Sus scrofa: one gene and its partners. The protein of the gene in region 1 interacts with the protein of each later gene in a biochemical or structural test. Links are inferred from orthologs where the notes say so. Each region holds a gene or a part of one and is shown on either strand. Other genes may lie near its edges.

The links. The genes of interacting proteins can lie anywhere in the genome.
Region 2: the proteins of PRKCB (region 1) and RACK1 form a complex in vitro, tested with the Homo sapiens proteins (2 studies listed by BioGRID). The link is inferred for Sus scrofa from reciprocal best matches to the Homo sapiens genes PRKCB and RACK1.
Region 3: of the proteins of PRKCB (region 1) and RASGRP3, one has a biochemical effect on the other in vitro, tested with the Homo sapiens proteins (2 studies listed by BioGRID). The link is inferred for Sus scrofa from reciprocal best matches to the Homo sapiens genes PRKCB and RASGRP3.

What each region holds. Positions count from the first base shown.
Region 1 is NC_010445.4:22,179,984-22,185,538, reverse strand, and holds part of PRKCB (protein kinase C beta type), read left to right. Parts: intron 1-2,793; coding exon 2,794-2,905; intron 2,906-5,555. UniProt on the Homo sapiens protein: Calcium-activated, phospholipid- and diacylglycerol (DAG)-dependent serine/threonine-protein kinase involved in various cellular processes such as regulation of the B-cell receptor (BCR) signalosome, oxidative stress-induced apoptosis, androgen receptor-dependent transcription regulation, insulin signaling and endothelial cells proliferation.
Region 2 is NC_010444.4:57,277,787-57,283,789, forward strand, and holds the start of RACK1 (receptor of activated protein C kinase 1), read left to right. Parts: upstream 1-2,405; 5' UTR 2,406-2,492; coding exon 2,493-2,601; intron 2,602-3,518; coding exon 3,519-3,690; intron 3,691-4,208; coding exon 4,209-4,356; intron 4,357-4,589; coding exon 4,590-4,685; intron 4,686-5,232; coding exon 5,233-5,343; intron 5,344-5,690; coding exon 5,691-5,831; intron 5,832-6,003. UniProt on the Homo sapiens protein: Scaffolding protein involved in the recruitment, assembly and/or regulation of a variety of signaling molecules. Interacts with a wide variety of proteins and plays a role in many cellular processes.
Region 3 is NC_010445.4:106,210,190-106,216,407, forward strand, and holds the start of RASGRP3 (ras guanyl-releasing protein 3), read right to left. Parts: upstream 3,599-6,218; 5' UTR 3,232-3,598; intron 1-3,231. UniProt on the Homo sapiens protein: Guanine nucleotide exchange factor (GEF) for Ras and Rap1.

The sequences.
Region 1 (5,555 bases):
ATCAGATAGGCTCTCCTCCTTAGAGGCTGAGTAGGAGGAGTGAGAGAAGCCCTGAGCGCCCCCTCAGGCCAATACCCATCATGAACTGGTGTTTCTTTCTACGTGGATTTGAGGCACTCATTTTTCAATTTTAAGGTGAATTCTCAAAGGTCAGGTACATGGGAAACGTTTTATAGCTCTGAGCCCTGGGACTCTTTTCAGGAACGGGATGTGTGTCTTAGCCCAGGCATGGGAGCCTTTCGCTTTTGTCTTGGGATTTCCAAGCTCTGCTGTTACTGCTGTGGTCCTCAATCCTCAAGCAGAACAGGTGGCTGCTGGAGCCTTTTTGCATCCTGGCAGCCCTGCAGGGTCCCGTGGCCAGAGCAGAGCTGACCCAGCTTCTTAAACTTGGCCATTCAGAACTGTGCAAGGGTCATCACTTCGTCTTTCTGACCCCAGAGGCTTGGAACATCGGAAGAGAAACTTTGTAGCTCATTAAGATGCAGGAGTTCCCCTCATGACTCAGTGGAAATGACTCTGACTAGAATCCATGAGGATGCAGGGTTTGAACCCTGGCCCCGCTTAGTGGGTTAAGGATCTGGCATTGCTGTGAGCTGTGGTGTAGGTCGCAGATGTGGCTCAGATCCTGGCTGTGGGTAGGCTGGCAGCTACAGCTCTGATTCAGCCTGGAAACCTCCATATGCCGCAGGTGCAGCCCTTAAAAAAAAAAAGGAGAAACTGCCACACCTTTTTTTTTTTTTGGAGGGGCTCTACCATTTTGCACCCCCTGCCCCCAGTATTTGCAAACGTTCCAGTTGCGTTTTCTCTTCTCCAGCCCTTAATGTTGTCAGTATGAATTTTCTACCACTTCAGCCATTCTAGTAGGTATAAAGATTATTTTTAAACTTTGAACCTAACAGTTTCCTAAGGAGAAATGCTTATCATTTTAATAGCACAGAATTCGTGCTTATTCTCTTTACTTGCTTACTTGTTCACTTTCTGTCTCTGTTACTAGGATAACTTTTAAAAGGCACCTGCATCAACTAACAAATGTGGATGGATGGGTGGATGGATGCATGAATGGTTTAGGGAGGAGGTGGGTAGTGTATAGCAAAGGCTAGGATGTCCGATCAGCCCTGGGTTAGAACCTTGGGCCCGTTCACTTCTGTAGTATACTCTTTCCCAGAGAAAGCAGTTTCTCAGGCTGGGTCGAGAAAGAGAAGGAATTTTAAAAATTTATTTATTTATGTTGCTTTTTAGGGCCACACCCATGGCCTATGGAGGTTCCCCGGCTAGGGGTCATATCAGAGCTACAGATGCCAGCCTACACCACAGCCACAGCCACAGCCACAGCCACGCAGGATCTGAGCTGTGTCTGCGACCTACACCACAGCTCACGGCCACGCCAGATCCTTAACCCACAGAGCGAGGCCAGGGGTCAAACCCACAACCTCATGGTTCCCAGTCGGATTTGTTTCTGCTGTGCCACGACCAGAACTCCAAAGAGAAGGAATTTTTGTTGTTGGTGGAGCATCTCTTGGAGGAGAAAGACGTTGTGTAGTGCCATAGACTCATGAAAGGCATGGCACGCTTGGGAGTATGACCAAGTCCTGGGTCCTGAAAACATAGTTGGGATCACGTGGGGGATGTATTCATAATAATACTAAAGCTTATACTGCTTACTGTGTGCCAGGCGGGTCCAAGCTCTCTACTTGGGTTAATTCACTTATTCTTCCTCATGCTCCTGTAAGCTTATAGTGCTATCACTCTCTCCATCATACAGACAAGGACAGTGAGGCACAAATAAATAACTTGTTCCAAATCATGCATCTAACAAGAACCCAGGCAGTTTATGCTCCACTGTCAGTACCTTTCAGTAATGCACTGCACTGCTAGGTTACAAAGGCCAAGTTAGTTAGTTAGGGAACAGCAGAAGCTGCTATAACAAACACCCCCCCCCCCCATATAGTGACTTGAGAAAACAGAAGGTAGATTTTTTCGGTCAAATGTGTGTCCCAAGGGACAAAGTCCAGGGCTGCTGGGTCCAAGTTTGGGTCCAAGGTGGTCACGTCCACATCTTACCATCTTCCAGCCCGTGCCAAGGGACACAGGGAGCCAGGGAGGCTGTACATCTTCCTTTTAAACACGTATCTCCCATGGGCTAGATCTCGAGCTGCAAGGAGGCTGGGGCATGTGGTCTTTAATGGAGCAGCGATGCTCTCTGCTAAAACTCAAGGGATCTGTTTTTAAAAGGAAGAATGGATATTGGAGGAATGCCGGTAATCTCTGCCACCACCTACTGACTATGCATCCTGAACTCTGAACTTTGAACTCTGTCCTGTAGTGATGAGGCCCTAGCAAATAGCCTCTAAGGGGGGGAGGTTTCATGCCCGGACTTGGGTTTTAGATCACTCCAGGAGTTGTTCAGAGGACGAAGGAAAGAGAAACAAGGAAACCTGTTGACTTGATGTGTCTGGCGTTTTGTTTGCTGTCTCTGGAGTCCTTGCTGGAGGCAGGACTCAGCAGGCTGGTTTCCCAGATAGAGGACGTGCAGGCACAGTGAGTGAGTGTGCTGGGGTGGGAATGGGCGCTGTCAGTGGTCTTAGTCCATTCATTCATTCATTCATTCATTCAGTGACTCTTTATCAAGCGCCGTGTCTGGGCACAGGACCCTGCCAGTGGTCCCAAGAGGTACACGGAACGCTGGGGGCCAGGTTCCGTTTTTATTAAGTTCTCCAGTGATGCTCAGTGCAGTGTGACTTCTTGGCATGCCACTCTGATGCCAGTCTCTTTGTTGGTTTCTTTGGACCTTAGGACCCCCGGAGCAAACACAAGTTCAAGATCCACACGTACTCCAGCCCCACGTTTTGTGACCACTGTGGGTCCCTGCTGTATGGACTCATCCACCAGGGGATGAAGTGTGACAGTAAGTACTCAGTCCGCCTCTGCTGTCGGGGCGCCTCCCCCGGGGTCTGCAGCACCTTCTTCCGAGTGCAGGGTAGGCTGGGTACCACTTGTCTGTTGCAGGGTAACGGGAGCCATTTGTTTAGCTCATGATGCTGCCAGGCTGTCCTTTGGGTCTGGACTGCCCTTGCTCATGCCTGTGTGGTCGATTAGTGGGTTGGGGTGGGTATTTGTCTGGGCTTGGAGGGCCTCACCCGCATGTCTGGAAGGATGGCTGGCTGTCACATGAGTGATGGGGATGACAGGGCCACGAGTCTTTTATCCCAAATGGGCTAGCCTAGACTTGCTGACATGGAGGTCCCACGTTCCTTAAGAGGGCAAGTCCCACTGAGCAAAGCGAGTCACACAGAAAGGTTCACAGCCACTGTGAGAGGGGACACAGGGAGGCACAGACACATTGTGGCCGTGCCTGCAGCCATGCACACAGCTGTTTCCAACACTGATATGCAGCACTGAGGCTGTTCTTTGCAGAGAGAAAAGACACCCGCGGTTTATACCAAAAGAGGGGAGAGGGTGTGATTCTCAGGCCAGGCTGGGGCGGGAAGAGGCTGGAGAGGGCAGGACTCCTCTTTATTAAAGAAAGGACTGAATGGCCCATGGGGTGGGACAGCCAGCAGGCTCTGAGAGCTGCAGCTTCCCCTGCAAAGGGACGGGGCGAGGACAGGGAGCTCCGTGCTGGCCGGGGGCCTGTCGACCTATAGCAGGCAGAGCCGTCACGAAGCCAGACTGTCTGAGGACAGAGGGAGAAATCCTCAGGGGCAGAGAGTGACTGAGAGGGATGGATGTGGCTTTGGAGGGAGCGGAAGGGAGGGAGAGAGAGAAACACACAAGTAGAGACAGGTGGATGCTGGGGCGGGGGGAGGGGTTGGGGGCAGATGCCATGTGGGTCCAGGTGTAGGGGGCGCCCAATGAAGCTGCAGAGGGACCCTGCACCAGAGAGACTCCAGCAGAAGGAGGGACGGAGGATGAACCAACAGACACAATGACTGGAAGTGACACAGAGGTGCGCTCACACGGGCTCCTGTGGGAGATGCAGAGAGAGCAGAAACAGAAACACACATGGAGAGACACACACACACAGAGATGGAGGCAAAGAGACGTGATGCAGAAACTATTCCCCAATGCATCTGTGGTCCCAAGGCATGTGTGGGTGCGTGCGCGCGCGTGCGCGCACACACACACGCACACACAGAGGAGCAAGGACCAGGAAAGAGACAAACGCCAAGATGGGTACTGAGAGACAGGCGGGCACAGACACAGGATTAGAGCCGCAGAGACACAGTAGAGATCGGAGCTCCCAGGCAGACACTTGATAGAGGCTTGCAGGACACCGACTCTTCTGAGCTGCCGTGGGGCCCCAAATTTTTCTCAAGGACAGAGAGGGGTGGGATGGGGGCACTTGAGCTGACACAGAGCCCTGAATTTGGGCGCTCAGGTTCCAGGGGGCTCTCCCTTTCTCCTTGCTCACCGTCCTCCCCCCACAACTCATTCCCAGATTTGTAATCTGCCTGCTGCCTCCTGGAGCTTGGGCGGGCTGAGAAGGGGCGCCCTTGGCACCCCCTGCCCCTGGTCGTGCCCTGCTCCTAGCTCCTGTGGAATCCCCTGGAATGCAGACCCTGTAGGGGGGTGATCCAGCCTCTCCTCCTGGCTGCTCAGACTGGAACAAGGGGGCCCCTTGGGAACACTGGACTCCAGGCACAACTTCCTGGAGCAGCCATGGTGCCAAAGAACTTGGGGGAAACCAGCTACCCACTGAGAGAAGCACAGAGGCCCCATGGGGGTGGGGTGGGGGGAAAGGGGGCATGCGTTTATCAGATCGCAGAGAACCCTTCAGAGTGTCAGGTTCAGTTTGCAGACATATTTCATTCATCTTACCCTGGGTCTATTTTTTTTTTTTGGTCTTTTTTTTTTTTTTTTTTTAGGGCTGCACTGGTGGCATATGGAAGTTCCCAGGCTAAGGGTCGAATCAGAGCTACAGCTGCTGGCCTATGCCACAGCCTCAGAAACTTGGGATCCGAGCTGCATCTGTGACCTACACCATACCTCATGGCAACACCGTATCCGCGACCCACTGAGTGAGGCCAGGGATCGAACTTGCATCCTCATGGATACTAGTCGGATTCGTTTCCACTGAGCCATGATGGGAACTTCCCCTGGGTCTAATTTTTTTTTTTTTTTTTTTTTTTGGTCGCAATTAGTTACAGTGGATATCGTGGGTGCTCTGCTCAGATCCCAAGAGGATGCCCCTTCCCAGAGGGTGGTTCATGACCAAAGACGGGCAGATGCAGGGTTGCAAAGGCCTGGTCCTCTTGTGTCAATTCCCCGACAACTCTGAGAGGTCACCTGAGGATGGGCGCTCCCCTTACATCGCACGTGGGCCAGCTGGCAACTCCCCTTCTCCGATGCTCTTTCCAGGGAACCCAGCCTATGAGCCGTCAGTATTAAAGCATCGCGAGATGTCACATACAAATCGGGATTCCCGCTTCGCTTGAAAAATGGGAAAATTTTGGCTTCCGTCAGGGCTCTGCCTGAGGGGCTGCTGCATCCCGGTGGTGCAAGCCCACCCACCACACCCGCAGCTTCCCTCCCTGGGTTACCTGCCGCCCCGGGCA
Region 2 (6,003 bases), on another chromosome or scaffold:
CTCAGTGGGTTAACGATCCGGCGTTGCCGTGAGCTGTGGTGTAGGTTGCAGACGCGGCTCGGATCCCGAGTTGCTGTGGCTCTGGCGTAGGCCAGTGGCTACAGCTCCGATTCGACCCCTAGCCTGGGAACCTCCATATGCCGCGGGAGCGGCCCAAGAAATAGCAACAACAACAACAACAAAAGACAAAAAAAAAAAAAAAAAGAGTAGAGACAAGGAAGGGGAGAGGCCCTCCGGATGTGAAAGTCACTTTCTGCAGTCCGGGTACAGAGGGAAGACAAGGAAGCAAGGTGAACTTGGGGGACCCCAGAGGATGGAGCTAGGCTGGGAGCTTCTGGAAAGGAGTCTGGCCTTACAGAAAGGTCTCTGAGGCAAGGTTGGGCTTACCCTCAGGGGTCCACATTCCATAGGGATCTTCCCTGGGCGAAGTTCAAGAAACAGAGCCAGAAAGAGGTTTCTTGGGGGAAAAAGTGTAATAATGTGTGATTAGTGATGGTGTCTTTGGGGACTGGAGGTAGGAGGTGGAGAATCGAGGGTTCTTGAGGACTGAGAGGAGATTTTGCTCAGCAGGCCTCATATTCCACACTGAGATGCAATAGAATTGTTCACCTCTCCATTGTGCCCAGTGCCCAGAAGGACTCAGGCATGGCCCAAGTCGTGGGCAGCAAGCTGGATAGTGGGGTAGGTAAAGGCAATGGTCTCCCATGACCACAGCAGAAACAAAACACGTGGGTGGGGTAGCCTTCAAAGCCGGAGAAAGTGACAGGACAGCCGTTGGGGGTGTCATGGAGGCAGGTGATGCACAAAGCTGGGAGTCTGGGAGGATAGTTGTCAGGCTGTGGAGGAGCTTAACAAAGACTGCACCCTTCCGAGCCCGAACGTGGCTGCAGAGGAAAGCAGGGGTCTGCAGGGGCAGCAGGAGAGTAGCTGCTCTCAAGCGAGGAAATTCCGGCCCTCTTTGCACACCTGAGCGGCCACAGCCAACAGCAGCTTCGCCATTACCCCTGCCTTCCTTCTCAAAGGCAGGCTTTCTGGTTGGGGTTTCCGCGGTCCTTCCCCCAGCCTGCAAGGCCCTCTGTCAGCTCCCCCGCCCCACCTCCATCTCATTATTCCGACCCTCCGTCCTAAGCGCTTCCAACGCTCCAGCTCAGGACTTTTATCACTGACCCTTCCCTCCGACTTTCTCTATATGTAACCATTGACTGGGACATTACATCATCATAAATCCACGGGGTTCTCTCCCAGATCTTCCTGTCTTTGTTAAAGTCTCCCCTTCAAGCTCTCTTCTCTCCAGCGCATTGACTGTAAACTTAAAAACAAACTAAACCTGGTCCCTTTCTTCCTCTTCAGAGATATATCCCCAAGATCTAAAATAAAGAGTCTGGTACTCAAATGTTAAGTTGGGCGCATTCACTCTGCCAGCCACTTTTTTGGGCATTTTACCTGTCTTAACTCATTTACTCTCCACAATACCTTAGGAGGTAGGTACTATTACTCCCAAACTCGTTTGACTGATAAGAAATTAAGTTAATACAAGTTACAAACAGGAAATACTTGGGCACGCCTAGGACCACCGCCCCCCCCCCCCGCCCCAGACCCACGGCCCTTCCATGAGGTGGCTTGGCCAGGAGCTGGTTTTGACCCGAGCCCACATTAAGTCAGAACCCACAGGTCCTTCCTCTTAGGACCGCTCAGTTTCCGCGAGAGCTCTCCGCGCTCTTGCCGAGGCAGGAGTGGGGTGACTGCCCAGCAGCCCACATAAGGATTTTTCCTTCATCCTCGGTTTTCCGCTCCATAACCCATTTCTGCCTTAGTCCTGGCTGAACTCAGTCTTTCTGGGCATGGAGTTCCTCAGCCAAAAACATCAGAGCATAAACCTCTCCAGAGAAGAGTCGTCCCCCGCGCATGTATATCTGTTAGAGTTTAATAGTTCACCTTAGCACAGTTTATTTTTAAAACTTAACACCGGATTTTTTACATTGCCCACCGTTACTCACAGTTGCGGCCTCGATATTAAACGCCCTCTGTGTTGCTCTCAGAGCCACGAAGCGGAAGGGGCGGGGTTCGCGCGGTGCGACCTACGGGAAGCGAAGGCGCTAGGCTATCCTTACGGGAATGGGGCGAGCACTTCCCGTCTTCCGCTTTTTAGACATCATTCCCTAATCAACCTTTGAGGAGCCTTTTAAAATACTCTGGCGTGTCGGTTTTGGAATTCATTTTTACAGTGCTGCCAAATTAGGTCGCGCGGAGCAGGGAACCATCAGGTCTTATTTTGCTTCCTCCCGGGCACTATGTAGTGCCGCCATCTTGAGCAGGAGTGCATTGTGGGAGGGCACCATTTTTCCGGAGAGGGAGGGTATTTCCGGTTCCGGCATGCCACTGCTCGGTCTTTTCCTCAGCCGGGCCTCGGCGTGAGAGGCCGTGCAGGTCGTCTCTCTGAGCTATCCGGTACCATCCTCGTCGCTCCGGCGACATCTGCATCTGCTGCCGCCATGACTGAACAGATGACTCTCCGTGGCACCCTCAAGGGCCATAACGGCTGGGTGACCCAGATTGCTACCACTCCCCAGTTCCCGGACATGATACTGTCCGCTTCTCGAGGTACGGACTGAGGTGCGGTGTAGAGGATACGGGAGTAGGGGATTGCGCACGTTGTATGGCTGGGCCAGTAGACCGCCAAGTAGCGGCCCTGAAAATTCGGTTAGGGTGTGAGCTGACCCGTGCGTAAGGCCTCAGCGTGGTTAAACCCTTGAGGCGTCCCCACTTTGCAGACTGCGAAACATAGACCACCCAGTAGCTGCCAGGAGGGGGTTGGGGACTTCTTTTAAATCTCTGGCCGACTTATCTAAGTGGATGTGTGCCCAGGAGCCTCGGGGCCGGACGGGGCGGTGATGATTCCAACATGCCATCTGAGTGCCCATGCTGAAACCCAGAGGCTGTTTCTGAGCTGCCGCCCGGCCCTCTACTCGGTTGGAAGTGGAGTGATTGCAATGTCAACGTGTGCCGATTTTGCCCTCGGTTTTTCCTCATTCTCTTTGTATATGACTGCGTTTGGGGTTTTAATCAGAAAGTTTGTTGAGTAGAACGCATTGAAGTGAAAGAACCCAGTCCTGTAGAGCCTAAAGTGACTTCTAATTTCAGAACTTCTGGAGGCCCCAGCAGTAGTCTCTGGAGGCTCACAGCTAGTTTTCTCTCACCTAGAGTGCTGTACCCATCCATTAGAACTCAGAAAAAAACTTGAAATAGACGTTGAGTTGGTGCGAATATCTGTAAAAGGCATCCATAATCTGGAAAAGTTCCAAACACCTGAGTTAAATTCTCATAGCTTTTTCACTCTTGACCATTTGGCCCTGACTGGGAACTGCTTTCATAACCTGTAGTTCCCCTACCCCTTTAATGTACTTAACTTGTGAGCCCGTCAATCACCTTGAGGTATCCTGGATTATCTAGTAGGTCAGAAGATGGGCTGCGGGATTTCTCAGTGGCTTTCCTCTGTTTTTTTTTTTACCTCCTCTTAGACAAGACCATCATCATGTGGAAGCTGACCAGAGATGAGACCAATTATGGAATCCCACAGCGTGCTCTTCGGGGTCACTCCCACTTTGTTAGTGACGTGGTCATCTCCTCAGATGGCCAGTTTGCCCTCTCGGGCTCCTGGGATGGAACCCTTCGCCTCTGGGATCTCACAACGCAAGTACCTGTTTGGGGGCATTGGGGGAAAGCTGGGTAGAAATGAGGTAGATACTTTCTGGAAGTAGTTTCCCAGGAGAGATCAGGTTCACTGTGTAAGAGAATATCTGGAAAAGAGTTCTGGTTGTTTGGCCTGCCTCCTTATTTGTTATTATGCAAAATTTCTGTGAAGTGGTTTGGTTGAGCAGTTTTTTCAGGTACTGCACTAGGGAGTGGGCAACAGTTTGAACCTGTTGTATATTGGGAGCTCAGTCTTTGGTTGGTCAGGCATAATGGAGGATCCTGGTGATGACCAATGACATTGTCAGCCAATCCCCACATGGGAATGAGGACATGTCCTGCAATTCTGAAGGGATTCTCTTGCATATTCCAGCCAAGGGCCTGCTGTTACCAAACCATGTCCAGGGTTGTGTGAGTAGTGCAGCTCCATTGGGACAGGAACCAGCCTAGGGAAACAGTTATGACTGGGAGAATATTTGCAAAGTCCATCCATAGTGTAACCAAGTCCTCCCTCTCAGGGGCACCACCACGCGCCGATTTGTAGGCCATACTAAGGATGTGCTGAGTGTGGCCTTCTCCTCTGACAACCGACAAATTGTCTCTGGCTCCCGAGATAAAACCATCAAGCTATGGAATACTCTGGGTGTGTGCAAATACACTGTCCAGGTAAAGTGAGGGCACACGCAGGGAACACATGTTGAACATTTTCTCCCATCCTTTTGGCTTTATGTGGTGATTTCAAGCCTCTTTGGGGATCTAAAGCAATTCTGTCAATCTTGATTGAGGGTTTGGGTTCTGGGGGTGTGAACACAAGGCTATCAAAATATATCCCTGTAACTGAGGGAAGGGTTGGTGATCTAGAGTTGCTTAGTATCTTATTTTCCTTCCATCCTTTGCAGGATGAGAGCCACTCAGAGTGGGTGTCTTGTGTCCGCTTCTCACCCAACAGCAGCAATCCCATTATTGTTTCCTGTGGCTGGGACAAGCTGGTCAAGGTGAGCTTGGAGCCAGGGTGTAGGGCCTTTATACCAACCCCCACTGCCTCCCAATTAGTTGGTCATAGCTCCAGCTTTGAAAGCTGTGTCCCTCAATTGACCTTTATCCTCTTGATATTTTCTCAGTATAGGTCATTACTTTTTTATATATATTCTGAAGTAGCTAATTGGTAAATTAGTGTCCCTTGGTGGCAACACAAATCATTTATTTCTGGGGCGGGGGGAAATGTTTATTTTTTGGCCATGGAAGTTCTGGGGCCAGGAATCCATGCCACAGTAGCAACTTGAGCCACGTCAGTGCCAGTGCCATTGCCAGATCCTTAACCCACTGCGCCACCAGGAAAACTCCCAATTCCAATTTCCAGTTTTAATCTTACTATTCTTAAGTGCTCAGGACAAATTCTTTGACCTTTTTTGTTACTTATAGAATTGAAATTGGCTTCCCTGTTCAGGAATGCTTTTAAACATTGTGCTATGCCTTTTATTTGGCCTGAGCCCTCTTGGCAGATCCAGGGCCAGGTTTTTCACCTGTGACCCACGATCTTAGGTATGGAACTTGGCTAACTGCAAGCTGAAAACCAATCACATCGGCCACACAGGCTACCTGAACACTGTGACTGTCTCTCCAGATGGATCCCTCTGTGCTTCTGGAGGCAAGGTATTCAAAGGCCAGGAGTCTCCTCAAGGGGCGGGGGCAGAAGTGGGACAGACAGTGTCTTAGAATACTTAAGATAATGAAATAGTAATACAAGAATAAATGTTTCTGAAGACCATGCAGAAAATGACAGAAAAGGTGTGCTCTTTGCCGAGATTGTCTGCTGTGAGGCTGGTTTCTTAAAGCTATTGATGAGATTAGGATCCTGTGTCTTGATAGGATTGGTGAGGTGTCATGTATTAAAGGAAAGCATATTGATATTGATTGATTAGTTCTTAAGACTTGAGATGAGTGGGATTAACATCTGGAAGAAGTCACATTGCCCTGACTTGCATCCCCTCTCTGCTCAGGATGGCCAGGCCATGTTGTGGGACCTTAATGAAGGCAAGCACCTTTACACGCTAGATGGTGGGGATATCATCAATGCCCTGTGCTTCAGTCCCAATCGCTACTGGCTCTGTGCTGCTACAGGCCCTAGCATCAAGATCTGGGTGAGTATGTGCCGCAGTTGAGGCCAAATACCTGGCTATGCCTTGAAAGCTTTTTCAGTCTTGGGATTTCCTGGTATGTCATTTGACTCACTTGTTGGGATCTGGACTTTGTGAACAACTGAATCATCACAGTGTCAGTGGATACCCCCAAAACAATGAGTTAAAAAGTTCT
Region 3 (6,218 bases), about 84 Mb from region 1:
TGGATATTAAAAAGCTTGCCATATAGAAAATTCTTGACCAGCGTTGACTGTCATCATTATTCTCAACTGTCCACTTACTATTTCTACCTGATTATCCCATCATCACTTTGAATTTAGTATGTCTGAAACCAAAATCCTTGTCTCCCTAACTCCCTGATCTGCGGCTATCTCTTTGGCTATTTCTTTGAATGGACCATAAAACATAATATCCTCTCTAACACGTCCTCTCCAAAAACCATATTCAATTAGTTTACAAAACATGTGGCTTTGTTCTCCAACTGTCCCTCTATCTGGTTGGTTTCTTTTTCTCTGTTGTCACCAGCCCCCAGACCTTGATGAACTGTACTCTTTGCCCCACCAGGTCCTGCCTGGAATGGGAAGATCTTATTGATGTCATTTCCCTTTTCAAAACCTTCAGTGGCTCTCCAGCATCTTGAAATCAGATTTTAACTTCCTTAGTCTGGCATTGCAGTCCCACCTCAACCTAACCCCCACCTCCTCCAGAAGCTTTTCTTTTACTCCATATGTGTATTGTTTCTGCTCCTGTCAACCTGGTTCCCTGGAAAGGTTGCCAGATTTAGGAAATAAAAAACACAGGACTCTCTGTTGAATGTGAATCAGATAAACCACAAACATGTTTTGTTTAAGTATATCTCATGCAATAGGCCTCTCATACTGATACAATAGGACATACTCTTACTAGAAAAAGTATACGTTGTTTATTGGAAATTCACACTTGAGTGGAAATCCTGTATTTTATCTGGTGACCCAAGTCCATTGCTATCTCTGCCCAGGCACACAGATCCTTCCTTGTCTTGGATGCTCTTATCTCTTGCTGTACCCATCAGATCTCCTTCTGCCCTTCGAGGCTGGGCTCAACCTCATTCTTCCATGAAGCCTGCTTAGATCAGGGCTTCCTCATCTGTACACATTATCTATACCACCCATTTGGTTCCATATACAGGATGTCTTGTGTTCCACATAATTTCCTTGCTCCAAGTAAATGCTGAGTTTATCAAAGACAGAGATTATATTACAAGTAGGAGAACTTAATAAATATGCTTTGAAGGTGTAGGGTTGCTGCTGACCTGTCAAACAGGATATCAGGAGATGAGAGCATAGGAGAAAAAGAACCTCCAGAGGCCACTAATCTGGATGTAAGGTGCTCATAGACCCATGAACATCAATTTTCACCTCCCCCTCCTCCCACAGCAACAGGCCAGGTGGGTATGTCCACCTGACCTTGGCACGCATCTCCCTATGTCCCTCTTCAATAAATCCTGCAAACTGTGGATTGCACTTGGCAACATCTAAATTTCTTAACACTCCACAACACTCTCATCAGTAACCTGATTTCAGTGATATTTCAATGGCAGGGTCAAAGGTGGCTGTCCTGTGCAATCTGTAAACATACAGTGATTACAGGAGTTATGCTGGAAACCCAGAAATAAATGTCTATTTATTTAACAGAGAAGCTTTAAAAATTGGCAGCTTTTTTTCCCCCCAAATTTTCTAACTCTAATAATGTAGCATATTCTCAGGAGCTTCAGAATACATCCAGAAAGCTGTGACATTGTTAAGCCACGCTCAAGAAATCTATTTTAAATAGCTGGCATTTCATGAATACATTCATAAGCAACTATGGAGCATCCAGAAACCAATGACCAACAACAAAACTTTTAAAAGTGAAAAAAATACATATTCTTAGAATAAAATAGATAACTCGTAGTTTTATCTATTGTTTCAACCTTCAGTAGTATTTAAAACTTTTTTTATTCTTGTAATGTATGTAAACATACAAAGGTGTCAAATGAGAATGCTGTTTTGAAACTGTAAGAGGAAAACGTTCAACGTTAACACAAGTCAGGATCATTGTAAGCAATGTGGACCCATGTGGAGTGGCAGTTAATTAGAGTACTATAGGTTTCACTTTGTGGAAAGAGTAAAATAGATTCAGCCCTGAATTCAGGACGTTGCAGTACTGGCATGTCCTAGAAACGAGTGCTCAGAATTTGTTTCCTCAGACCCATCATATTTGTCCAGATTAATTTCACTTCCCCCTATTTTTTACAACCTACGTTTAACTAAGAAATATTGCTCTTTCTAGTCAAGCATATTTTTTCTCCGCTATTTCCATGGAATGAATTATAATTTTCTAATCAGAAGAAAATAACCCTTAAATTCTTCCAGGAAAGAGAACAGTCGGTGAGCTCCATAATGAGACAGCACTGAGCCCGTGGCCTCCTGTGTCAATTGTCATCTGGCTGGCTCAGCTATTCTGGCTTCCAGCTTTGCTATCTTCTTACAGCAGATGCTAAACATACCAATCTCAAACTGGGGTAAGCCAAAATAACAGCAATACATTTCCTTCTTCCTTTTCCCGAAACCACCAGAACCCCTATTCCTTTGTTTGACATGGGCATGACATTAATCAAGTTTTTCCAGGACACAGATGTGGAGGTTAGCAGTGGTGGATGAAAGTATGGTCATCATGGAAACAAATGTATTTGTTTGATGGCAAGAAATGTTAAAAGAAGTTACAATGTCCCCATCTCTCAGAGTTTTTGTGGGCAGCATCAAGAGCTCTCAGATTTAATCCATTTCCTCTTGACCTTTCCACTTCCAAATCCAGGGACCTTTGTTCAGGTTACTCAGAAAATACATGTTCAATGAATGTTTTGAAATAATAGCTTCAGTGTAAATAATTGTGAATTCCAGGAGACACTTTGTATAGAAAAAAATTAATTTTCATTTTATATAAAATTTAAATTTTTTAGTTAAAAATAACTTTTCTAAAATAGGTCACACTAGCTTGGAAGCATATCTAGTAAATGTATTCTAAACCAATAGCGATACCAGAAAAGGGCACATGGATTATTAATCAGCACTTTGAGAAGGATAGAAAAACAGACAAATATCAAGGATTTTTCAAAATGATCTTCAGTGAATTTATTTATACTATTTGATCCCCTGCTGGTAATGAAATGAAAGAAAACTTAGTGGCGATAAAATTATCTTAAGGAAACAATTATTTAAAATTTTTATTCCTGTTAAAAAGTGAAGATGGCATAGCCGAGGCTGATCTGCACATTTCTTCAGAGATAGAAGCAAAGTTCATGAGCTCTGCATGAGGACCTGCCCTCAGATTATATACACTGTCTGTGACCAGTATCCATGGTACATGATATGAATGTAGACACAACAATGTACGGTCTTAAAAAGGACACTTACCTTAACTTGCAGTCGTGGAATCATTTCGAGCGCATCTCTTTATCAAATCCTCTCTTTCGCACTGCTTCAACAACTCTTAACAAGTTTCTCTTCCACGTGTTGGAACACCTAGAGAATCCTGTCCTCTCTTCTAAAACGCTGCATTCACCTCCATTGCCCAAATCCAGTTCAGAATCGGGAAGAGGAAAAAAAATTGAATTTGCAAGCTGTTTACACCCTAACAACGACAGTGAAGCTGCTAAGCTTTGAGCTCAATGAATTAAAGGTTGTTTGGCTAAATGGCAGGCACACTTCCTCCTATTCTTTCTGAACTTAGTTTTCCTGCCTCCAGCAGAGCTTTTTCCTTTCCTGGGCTATAAATAGGCTGGTGGTAAGAGCACTGAGGAAAGAAGAGGGCAGGAAATGCATTTGATTTCAAAAAGCAGTCTTGGGGGTGCGTGTGTGTGTGTGTGTGTGTGTGTGTGTGTGTGTGTGTGTGTTTCTTTCAAGTGAACACCAGTAAACAAGGAAAATTCAGCTTTGATCTGTGCACCATAGCCAACATTTTCTTTAAATTCCTATAACCTTGGTTTGGCTCTAAGTTGTCATTTCCCATAAACAAATCTTGGGTTTGGAGATGTATCATTTTTTTCATATAAACTGTAAACAACCTACATCTCAGCCTTCATTTTTCAAAGGATTGCTCTAAAAATCGAATTTCCTGGGGGAAATGAGGAAGGAGGCAGACGGGGGTAGGGGTGGGGGTCATGCCATAGTTGTTTCTTTTCATTCAGAAGGAAATGAATCAGTATTTCTTGAGGCAAGATTCAGCAAAAGGAAAATATCAGGTGAACAAGAAAAGCAGATGCTTTTGAGTGAATGAAAGTATGAAGTTGAATTTGTAAACCATTTGCAGCCAATTGCGCTAAACTAATGGATTGTCCACAGTCTTGTTACTCAGAGTTGTTTAACTTCTCTCATAACTGTATGCAACACAAACGAAAATAAAAATTAGATGTCATTTTCTACATGTCAGATTGGCAGATCAAAATTTTGGCTATTGTCCGATGTCCCTGAAGAGTGAAGAAATAAGCATCCAGGAGTTGCCGTCGTGGCGCAGTGGTTAACAATCCGACTAGGAACCATGAGGTTGCGGGTTTGATCCCTGCCCTTGCTCAGTGGGTTAACGATCCGGCGTTGCTGTGAGCTGTGGTGTAGGGCGCAGACGCAGCTTGGACCCCGCGTTGCTGTGGCTCTGGCGTGGGCCAGCGGCTATAGCTCCGATTCGACCCCAAGCCTGGGAACCTCCATATGCCACGGGAGCCGCCCAAGAAATAGCAAAAAGACAAAAAAAAAAAAAAGAAAAGAAAAGAAAAAAAAGAAATAAGCATCCATATAAAGTATTTGGAAGTATACACTGGAATAAACTATTTGATAGATGGTAATTTTCAACTTCTTTCAAAATGTTAAGAGCACATGGTCTAACAAGATCCCTAAACATGCTTGACTCTGCAAAGTGGGCGTGGGTATCTGGAATGGGTGGGCAGTTTAATTTCTGATATATTTTTGCTCTTTTCACTTTTATACTGTGTATACCATGCTTCAAAAAGTGATTTATTTTATTTTTTAAGTATAGTTGATTTAAAATGTTGGTTAATTTCTGCTATATGCAAAGTGATTCAGTTACACCTAAATTTTTTTTCATATTCTTTTCCATTACAGTTTATCACATAATATTGAATATAGTTCCTTATGCTATACAGTAGGACTCTGTTGTTTATTCATTTAATATGTAATAGTTTGCGTATACTAATTCCAAATTCCCAATGCTTTCCTCCCCCACCCTCTCCTCCTTGGCAACCACAAGTCTGTTCTTCATGTCTGTGAGTCTGTTTCTGTTTTGTAGATAGGATCATTTGCACCATATTTTAGATTCCACATATAAGCGGTATCACATGGTATTTGTCTTTCTCTTTCTGACGGACTTCGCTTAGTATGATAATCTCTAGGTCCATCTATGTTGCTACAAATGGCATTATTTCATTCTTTTTTGTGGCTGAGTAGTATTCCATTGTGTATATGTACCATCTTCTTCATCCATTCATCTGTTGATGGACATTTAGGTTGTTTCCATGTCTTGGCTATTATGAAGAGTGCTACAATGAACATAGGGGTGCATGTATTTTTCTGAATTATAGTTTTGTCTAGATAATATGCCCAGGATTGGATTGCTGGATCATATGGCAACTATATTTTTAGCTTTTTGATAAACTTTCACATTGTTTTTCATAGTAGCTGCAACAATTTATATTCCCACCAACAATGTAGAAGGGTTCCTTTTCTCAACACCCTCTCCAGCATTTGTTATTTGTAGACTTCTTAATGATGGCCATTCTGACTGATGTGAGCTGACATCTCATTATAGTTGTGACTTGCTTTTCTCTAATAATTAGTGATGTTGATCATCGTATCATGTGTTTTTTGGTCATCTGCATGTCTTCTTTGGAGGATTGTCTTTTTAGGCCTTTTCGTGCATTTTTCAGTTGAGTTATTTTTCTGATACTGAGTGGTATGAGCTATTCATATATTTGGGAAATTAAGCCCTTGTGGGTCACATCATTTGCAAATATTTTCTACCAGTCCACATGTTGTCTTTTTGAAAAACTTACTAATTTTAAAGACAGAAATTTAAAAACTGTTATTACTTAAGGTCCTTCATAGGATTCTATTCGTTATCTATTATCTTACCTATCTGTGAATCATTATGTACTTACTGTCTCAACAATCTTCTCTTTACATTGGGGTAACACTTTGAGAAGCAACACTGGAATATCTAGAGAATCTCTTGACAGGAGGGGCAACTCAGAGTGTTGTCCACAGACCAATAGCATCTGTAGTACTTTGGTCGGAAACTCTGGGGTAGGCCCCAAGAATCTGCATTTTAACTTCAGATGATTCTCATGCTCAGTGAAGTATGAGAAGCACCAGTCTATACAATTATTCTGTTT